Linked DNA regions of Cricetulus griseus. The protein of the gene in region 1 interacts with the protein of each later gene in a biochemical or structural test. Links are inferred from orthologs where the notes say so. Each region holds a gene or a part of one and is shown on either strand. Other genes may lie near its edges.

Region 1 (3,822 bases):
ATCCAAGTAGGTGAAGAAGAGAAATAGACACAGATCATGGGTTTTGTTGTAGTTTTTTGTCCCCCTCTCCCCGCCCCCCTCCAAGAAATCAAAGGTACACCAATTCGTCAAATACTTTTAATCTCTGGCACATACTAGCTGGACTGTTATTACTGCCTTGTTTGTTTATCAGTGCCACTGGTAACTTCAATGTGAAACTGTTGTAGTATGCACCTTGCAGGTTAGGAAGCAAAATAACCTGCTTTTAATGCTGGTACAACAGGGGTCAGATAAACACACTGGGGTGTGCTAACACCCAGCAGGGTTTGATAATTTAGATACCCAATAAAAATTTTAAAACCTGCACTTATCAGGGAAGTCACCAAATAGGGGATACTGACCTTCAAAATGGCTCCCACCGAAGAGCAGTTTGGTCTGTCTAGAAAGAAATTTGGCTGAATGTGTCTATGTGTTTCATTTCAGCATGCCACCAAGACATATACGAAGGACTTGATATGAGAGGATCCAACTTCAACATATCTAAGAGTAACAGTATTGAAGAATGCCAGAAATTGTGCACAAACAATATCCACTGCCAATTTTTCACGTATGCTACAAATGCATTTCACAGCCCTGAGTACCGGTGAGTGAGGCTGAATGGTTTCCCCACGAGAACACTCCAGGATTCAACAGCATCCTTCATGAAAAAAAAAGTCTGTTTTTCCTCCAATGAAAGTGCAAAGGGAGTTCAGTCCTGAGCATTTTCCTTATTTACAGACTTAATTTCAATGGCATGGCACCTTTCCCCAAAAGATACTAAACTTCAAAGGTACCCATAGGCTGTGCATGGAATGAAGGTGTAGTGTCAGACAATGATATCTGCCACCCCATTCATACCCTAAACTGCCCTATGCTGAAGGGAAGAGTATCTACTGATTAATAATGGCCCAACCATGCACTGCTGTGGTTATCATTTCAATAGCAATTGTTACCCACACAATTTTATGCACCTTAAGAAACATAACAACATCTTTTGTTGACATTCAGGAACAACTGCCTGCTGAAGCATAGCTCAAGTGGAACACCCACCAGTATAAAGACAATGGATAACTTGGTATCTGGATTCTCGCTGAAGCCCTGTGCCCTTTCAGAGATTGGTAATTCCACCGTGATTGTGATGTGCTAAATGAGAATGCCCAGAAATATACATGAGCCCACTCTCAGGGATATGATGCATTTGGCCAAAGGGTTTGTGTAGATGCAATTAATTATATGGGAAATACATCTTGGAAATAAGAATTCTCTGGATTACCAGAATGTGCTCTATCCAGTCTCAAGAGTCTGAATGTGATAAAGAGGGAAACAGAGGGGTCCAAGTCAGAGGTAAAAAGACTTGAAAGGGTTACATTGCTGCCTTTAAAGGTGAAAGAATCCTAAAGCAAATGGATGCCATGACCTGTCAAAGGAAAGGGGCATGGAACAGATCTCCCTACATGCTCTTCCAGAGGAACAGAGCCAAGCCAACCTTTGGACTGTCACCCAGTCAGACTTACTTTGGCCTTCTGATCTCTAGTACTAAAAGATAATATGTTTATATTGCATAAATCTCTAGTTTTATTGTACATTCCTACAACAACAGCATTAGGAAAGTACAGTGACACTATAGAGAAAACCGTGTCGTTGGTGTCCATATCTGGTGAGAAAGACATATTACCATGAATCAACAAAGGCCTATCATTCCAGACACAGATGTAGCTTCAGTTGAATTATCCAGACAAGCACCATCATATTTAGCTCATCAAGGTGCCAGTGGTGAGATTTACTGAAACCATACCACTTATAGTAAAGAGTGCCAATACTGAATGTTGGCTCTATGCCACGCACTGTATTGGTTCTGAGCTCTGGGATATGACCTCTCTATGAAAAATGGAGAAGCCAAAACAACCTATCTCTCTTCCTATTTGTATTTTTTTTCTCAACATATTCTCTCTATACTGTCCCATTCAGTTGGCTCAAATTTGTTAATTATTTAGTTTTAATTCCCACTTTTCTAGTTTTTGAAAGCTTTTCTACAGGAGATGGGGCCCTTTACTCAAATGTGTTCTGTTCTGTATATCATGCTTATCTTAGACTGCTTGTCTGCAGCCATACCCAAATGCCAAGCCTCTTCTAGCTCATGATTCTGCAGCCCAGGAAGCTAAAGAAGGCGTAGTAGTCATATCTAGCAAGGGCTGTTGTGAGTCTGGGGTCATTCAGAGATTCACTACCAGTCTCACTCAAGTTTTGGTTTTAGTAAAATAGAGACTTTTTATTAAAAAGACTGGCCAGGATCAAACCAGAGAGAGTTCTCTAGGTAAGGCCCAGCTATTGTTAGACAAAGGATTATAAAGACAAAACCCACAGAATTATAAATAAGGGAAACCAAATTAACTAATATCCTGTCTGGGTGTGGGCAAAGCTCCATTTTGTAACAGATAACCAGCAGGTGCCTCAGCCTTCCAAGCAAGCGTTTCATGCAAAACCAGAGCGTAGCAGTTAGCTTGTTCAATCTTATGACCTTGTAGGACTAGCTGAGACAGTGAAATATTTTGTAACAATCAGCTCTTTTATTTATTTATTTTTTTTTAGAATAGCCCAACCATTCCAGGAAGTGGTCCATCTCAGGCAAGCTGACAGGGTACATTCAGGTAGGAGTAACTTCAGCATGGCTTGTGAAAGTTAAAAACAATTCTGGTTTTACAAGGCTAGCACAGGAAATTTATCCTCTGAATATAACACTCGCCACCACAGGACTTTATACTGCATTACAGCATGGTAGAAAAAGGCAGAAAGAATGAATATGTGTGGAAGACAAGGAACACAAGAGGAAGCCTTGGTTTAGAACAACCTGCCCTTGTGGGAACTGATATAGTTCAGAGAGAGCAGGAACTCACTCATACAAGAAAGGTCCGTTCATGTGGGCTATGCCTTCATGACTTCCCCCAGGCCATATCACCCAGCACTGCCCCATCGGACAACAAGCTACACCAGGAGATTTTTGCTGAGGGCAAACCACCCTCCAGTCTTAACAGCACACTGCTGCAAGTATTTTTATGCTCAGGGAAGACGTGACAATATTCTTTTGTTCTGCCTCAAAGTGCTGTCCACAGCCTCAGAGAGTATCCCGCATGCCCAGTCTCAGACTGCCCTGTACTTGCTTTCTTGAGTGCTATGAGTTCTCACATTTCTTCAGTCTGATTAAGTGTCCTTCACAGAGTGATAAAAATCCTGGATATCTCAGAAAATGCCTGTGATTTTTAAGAGGCAGGGCTCTTCACATCCCTTGCATGCCAACCAAAGCCGCAGGAAGGCTGTCTCCGGACCTAAAGGCCTAAATTAAATTTATTAGTCATTACCACACCCTTTTCTCAATTTTATCCACAATGCCTTTAACTTTAGGAAGGAAAAAACAGCATATGGGTAAAACCATATGCTATGGTCACTTAGCAGACCAACCACTTAGACCTACCACTTAGAGTCACACAAATGTCCTACCTATATCCTCCCTTCTTTGAAACGGCTAGCCTCTTACCTCACACAACTCAAAATGAACTGTATTTAAAGACTAGTTTTCAGCAGTTTCCTGCATGGATTTTGAGAGCTTTGGAGATAACCACACCTCCCCCATTAGTGAGTCAATACTATTTGCAATTCTAACTAAGAGAATCTTTCCATACTAATGGCTTGGTATCTTCCCTGACAGTCATTTCCACCACACAGGCAGATGTCTTCATGTTACCGAATCACCAGGACTCCTTGTTTCTCCCTCCTCCTCCCTCTGCCATTCTTCTTCCTCCTCCCACT
Region 2 (4,314 bases), on another chromosome or scaffold:
ATATAACCCAATCTTGTTTGTAATTCAAATATATAAAAAATATAAAACTAAAAAAAAAAAGATATTCTGATTTCCAGCCAGGAGGTGGTGGCACACACCTTTAAACCCAGAAGAGGCAGGTGGATCTCTGTGAGTCTGAGGCCAGACTAGTCTACAGAACAAGTTCCAGAACAGCCAAGGCTACACAGAAAAACCCTGTCTCAGAAACAAACAAACAAAAAAAAAAGGTTTCCACATTCTTTGGGTGAAGAAATAGAGATGGGATGGTTAAGACTCTGACTCACAAACACACACATGGGCAGACATAAACTCACACTCATTCACACCCAGACAGGAAACATACACATACACAATTGGCATACATGCACATGCCTGTTCAGTCTCAATCACATAGAAGTTCAGGAGTAGAGGCCAGATTGACATCCATCTAGGATCTCCAGCCAAGGGACTGTTTCTGCCTGCTCCTATAAAGTCACCATTCAACCCATGGTGACAGCACCCCACCTCAGGGCCTCTCAGGCAGGCTCCATTGCAAACTAGAGGTTTCTTTTATTTCTTCTTTCTCTTTTTCTTCTTCCTTCCCTCTGTCCTTCCTTTCTTTTCTTCATTATTATTATTGTGTGTGTTTATACAGAGAGGATGAGAATGTATAAGGCAGCACAAAGCCACAGCCCACATGTAAAGGTCAGAGACCTCTCAGGAGTGGGAGCCTCACCATCCACCTTGGTAAGACAGGTCTCCTTGTTTCTCCTGCTCTCATACTCCAGGCTACCAGCCTGTGAGCTTCCTGGCAATCCTCGTGTCTCCACCTCATGGATCACAGTAGGAATGCCAGGACTACAAATGTGTGCCACCATCCACAGTTTTTTGTCTGACTCCCAGACATCAAACTCAAGTTGTCAGCATGAGGCTCGTGAGGCAAGCACTTTGACCTGCTGGGCTCCTGCTGGCCTCTCCCTTCCCTTGAGCTAGTAGAATTGAGCAGAGAGGCTGGTTTTCAGGTGTGCCAGTGTCCTTTCTGTGCTTGTGCTTTTCAGGAACGCGCCAGAACTGACAGCAGTCTGCTCCTGTACACATTAATATCCCACTAGCAATTCCGTATGGGAGGTGTTTGTACACTGGCCTCATTGTTCACACATGCAGAGACCTTTGCAACCAGTCCAGTAAAGTCACAAGAAGATAACGGGATTGGTTGTTGGTTTTAGCTCCTCTTTTATTGGTTTCTGCTCTAATTTACTGTACAAAGTTGTGCAACGTTTTGGAAACGGGCTCCCTACTCCCACATTCTTTCCAAAGGCAAACGAGCAGGTCAACAACCTCGATGTCGCAATGTTCCAGCCTGAAACCTGCTTGGACAGCGTGCAGAGTTGTATTTGTTCTTTGGGAAGAGGACAAACAGCTTGTGACAGCAGGAATCCAAATAGGTCTCCAGTGGCGAGGCAGGGAGAGACAGGACAGGACAGACCAGAGAAGCTGCTAAAAAGCAGTTTCTAAGCTGGCTTCCAGTCCTTGGCAAAACCATCCCCGCCATTTGGGAGGGAAACTTAAATCATGAAGCTAATTACTATCCTGTTCCTCTGCTCCAGGCTGCTACCGAGTTTAACACAGGGAGAAGTCTCCCAGGAAATTGACTGCAATGACGAGGATGTATTCCTGGCTGTGGATGTGGCTCTGAAGAAGTATAACGCTGGGAACCAAAGCGGCAACCAGTTCATGTTGTACCGAGTGACTGAGGGCACTAAAATGGTGAGTGGCTGCTTAACTGTGAAATTGCTTATAATCTGTGCTCTCTGGCATGGCACTGGAGGACAGGAAGGGACAAGGCATTGTGGGGAATCCAGCAACTTCATCAGCTTGCAACAGGAGAATGCACTGGGTCTGTGAACTCAGTGACCTCCTGCCTAAAGTGGGAGTTGGGTATGGGGATGAATAACGGGAGTAAGAGGAGAGTAAGTGGGAATTATTACCTTGGACCACATGAATACCACCGAGTGTGTGTGGCTGATTCTTTGAGGTTAATAGCAATGTTTCCATTAGTTTTCTTCAGTTTTGGGGGGATGCAGGGAGGCTGGGGCAGGGTGTCATGTAGCTTTAGACTAACCACCAAATTGTTATGGTGATGACCATAAACTTAAACTTTTCATCGTCCTGCCTCCATCTCCCTATAATTACAGGGATGTGCCACCACGTCAGGTTTATGTGGTACCAGAGAATCAAACACAGGACAGACTAGGCAACTACACCCCCAGCCCATTAGGCTAGTTTTTACTATGCTTTCATTTCTGCATTAGTGCACTAAGGTAGGAGACAAATGTAGGCAGGATCCATAAATCTAAGAAAGACAAAATCTTTAAGAGTTTAGAAAAAATTTCTGGGTGATGGTGGCACACGCCTTTAACCCCAGCATTTGGCAGGCAGAGTCAGGTGGATCTCTGACTTCCAGGCCAGCCTGGTCTACAGAGTGAGTTCTAGGACAGCTAAGACTACATAGGGAGACCCTGTCTCAAACAACAAGATTTAAAAAAAAAAAAAAAAAAGTTTAGAGACTGGAGAGATGGCTCAGTGGTTCAGGGCACTGGGTACGCTTGCAGAGGACCTGGGTTCAGTTCCCAGCCCCATGGTAGCTCAAAACCATCTATAACTCTAGTTCCAGGGGATCTGGTAACTCTTTTGGCCACAACTGGCATCAGGCACACATGTAGTACATATACATACCTTCAGGCAAACACACATACACATAAAATAAAAACTTTTTTAAGCTATTAGTAACATTTATTAAAAAAAAGAAAAAAGAAAACCTAGACCCAATTGCATATTTTCCCTGGGTGGAGTTAACTAAGATATGAGAGAGTTCCACACAGTTAACATTGGTTCTCTTTTACTAATCAGAAAGTCTTGTTATAAAATACACAGACAGCTAGCTAATTAGTGTCAAAATTTCATTAATTTTCCAAACTAAGAAACTATGTTTTTTTATTCTTTTTTTGACTTTTTTTTATTTGAATTACAAACAAGATTGAATTACATGACAATCCCAGTTCCCTTCTCCCTCCCTTCCTCCTCTACCACCCCCCTAACTAAAACCCTATCTATCACATATCCTTTCTTCTAATCTACACTTGACTCAACCTTTCTGCTCCCTCATGACCTCTGCATTCTTCCTTTTCTTCCCTTCTCATTCTTGTAGCTCCCTCCCCCCTCTTCCCATATTCTCAATTTGCTCAGGGGATGGTGACCCTTTCCCCTTCTTCAGGGGACAAAGTTTGTCTCTTTTAGGGTCCTCCTTGTTTACTAGTTTCTCTGGCAGTGTGGATTGTAGGCTGGTAATCCCTTACTCTATGTCTAAAATCCACATATGAGTGAGTACATATCATGTTTGTCTTTTTGTGATTGGGTTACCTCGCTCAGAATGGTTTCTTCGAGTTCCATTCATTTTCCTACAAATTTCAAGATTCCATTGGTTTTTTTTTTCTGCTGAGTAGTACTCCATTAAAAAGTGGGGTACAGAACTAAATAGACAATTCTCAATAAAGGTATCTAAAGTGTCTGAAAGACACATAAGAAAGTGTTCAATATCCTTAGCCATCAGGGAAATGCAAATCAAAACAACTCTGAGACACCATCTTACCCCTGTCAGAATGGCTAAAAATCAAAAACACTAATGACAGTTTATGCTGGAGAGGATGTGGAGAAAGTGGAACACTTCTCCACTGCTGGTGGGAGTGCCAACTTGTACAGCCACTTGGGAAATCAGTATGGCAACTCCTCAAGAAAATGGGAATGAGTCTACCACAAGATCCAGCAATTCCACTCCTAGGCATATATCCAAAAGAAGCACATTCATACAACAAAGACATCTGTTCAACGATGTTCATAGCAGCACTATCTGTAATAGCCAGAAACTGGAAGCAGCCTAGATGCCCCTCAACTGAAGAATGGATAAAGAAATTGTGGTACATTTGCACAATGGAGAACTACTCAGCAGAAATAAAACTTTAAAATTGAAAAGCTTTCAAAAAGATAAATAATAAATTTCACTTTCAAAGACTCTTTCTTTGGATAAGTCAAGTTTCTTCAGCAGAAAAACAAAATCCAGTCATTTGATGTGAGGATAAAAAGAAAACCCTAATGGATGTAGACTTATGTGTTTGTTTCCCACAGATAAAACAAAGCCTTTTGTTTCTCTCTCCAGCACGGTGTGAATTCTGCTTCCAGGCACTCTGGGGCCTCAGTCCACTAGTACCTCCACTGGGTGATGGATGGAGTACATGGGTGTTTTGTTGTACAATGTCTGTGTAGTGGGCTTCCCCTCTC

The links.
Region 2: the proteins of Klkb1 (region 1) and Kng1 form a complex in vitro, tested with the Homo sapiens proteins (4 studies listed by BioGRID). The link is inferred for Cricetulus griseus from reciprocal best matches to the Homo sapiens genes KLKB1 and KNG1.

What each region holds. Positions count from the first base shown.
Region 1 is NW_023276807.1:41,200,156-41,203,977, forward strand, and holds part of Klkb1 (plasma kallikrein), read left to right. Parts: intron 1-462; coding exon 463-622; intron 623-1,026; coding exon 1,027-1,136; intron 1,137-3,822. UniProt on the Homo sapiens protein: Participates in the surface-dependent activation of blood coagulation. Activates, in a reciprocal reaction, coagulation factor XII/F12 after binding to negatively charged surfaces.
Region 2 is NC_048597.1:65,892,578-65,896,891, reverse strand, and holds the start of Kng1 (kininogen-1), read left to right. Parts: upstream 1-1,463; 5' UTR 1,464-1,551; coding exon 1,552-1,746; intron 1,747-4,314. UniProt on the Homo sapiens protein: Kininogens are inhibitors of thiol proteases.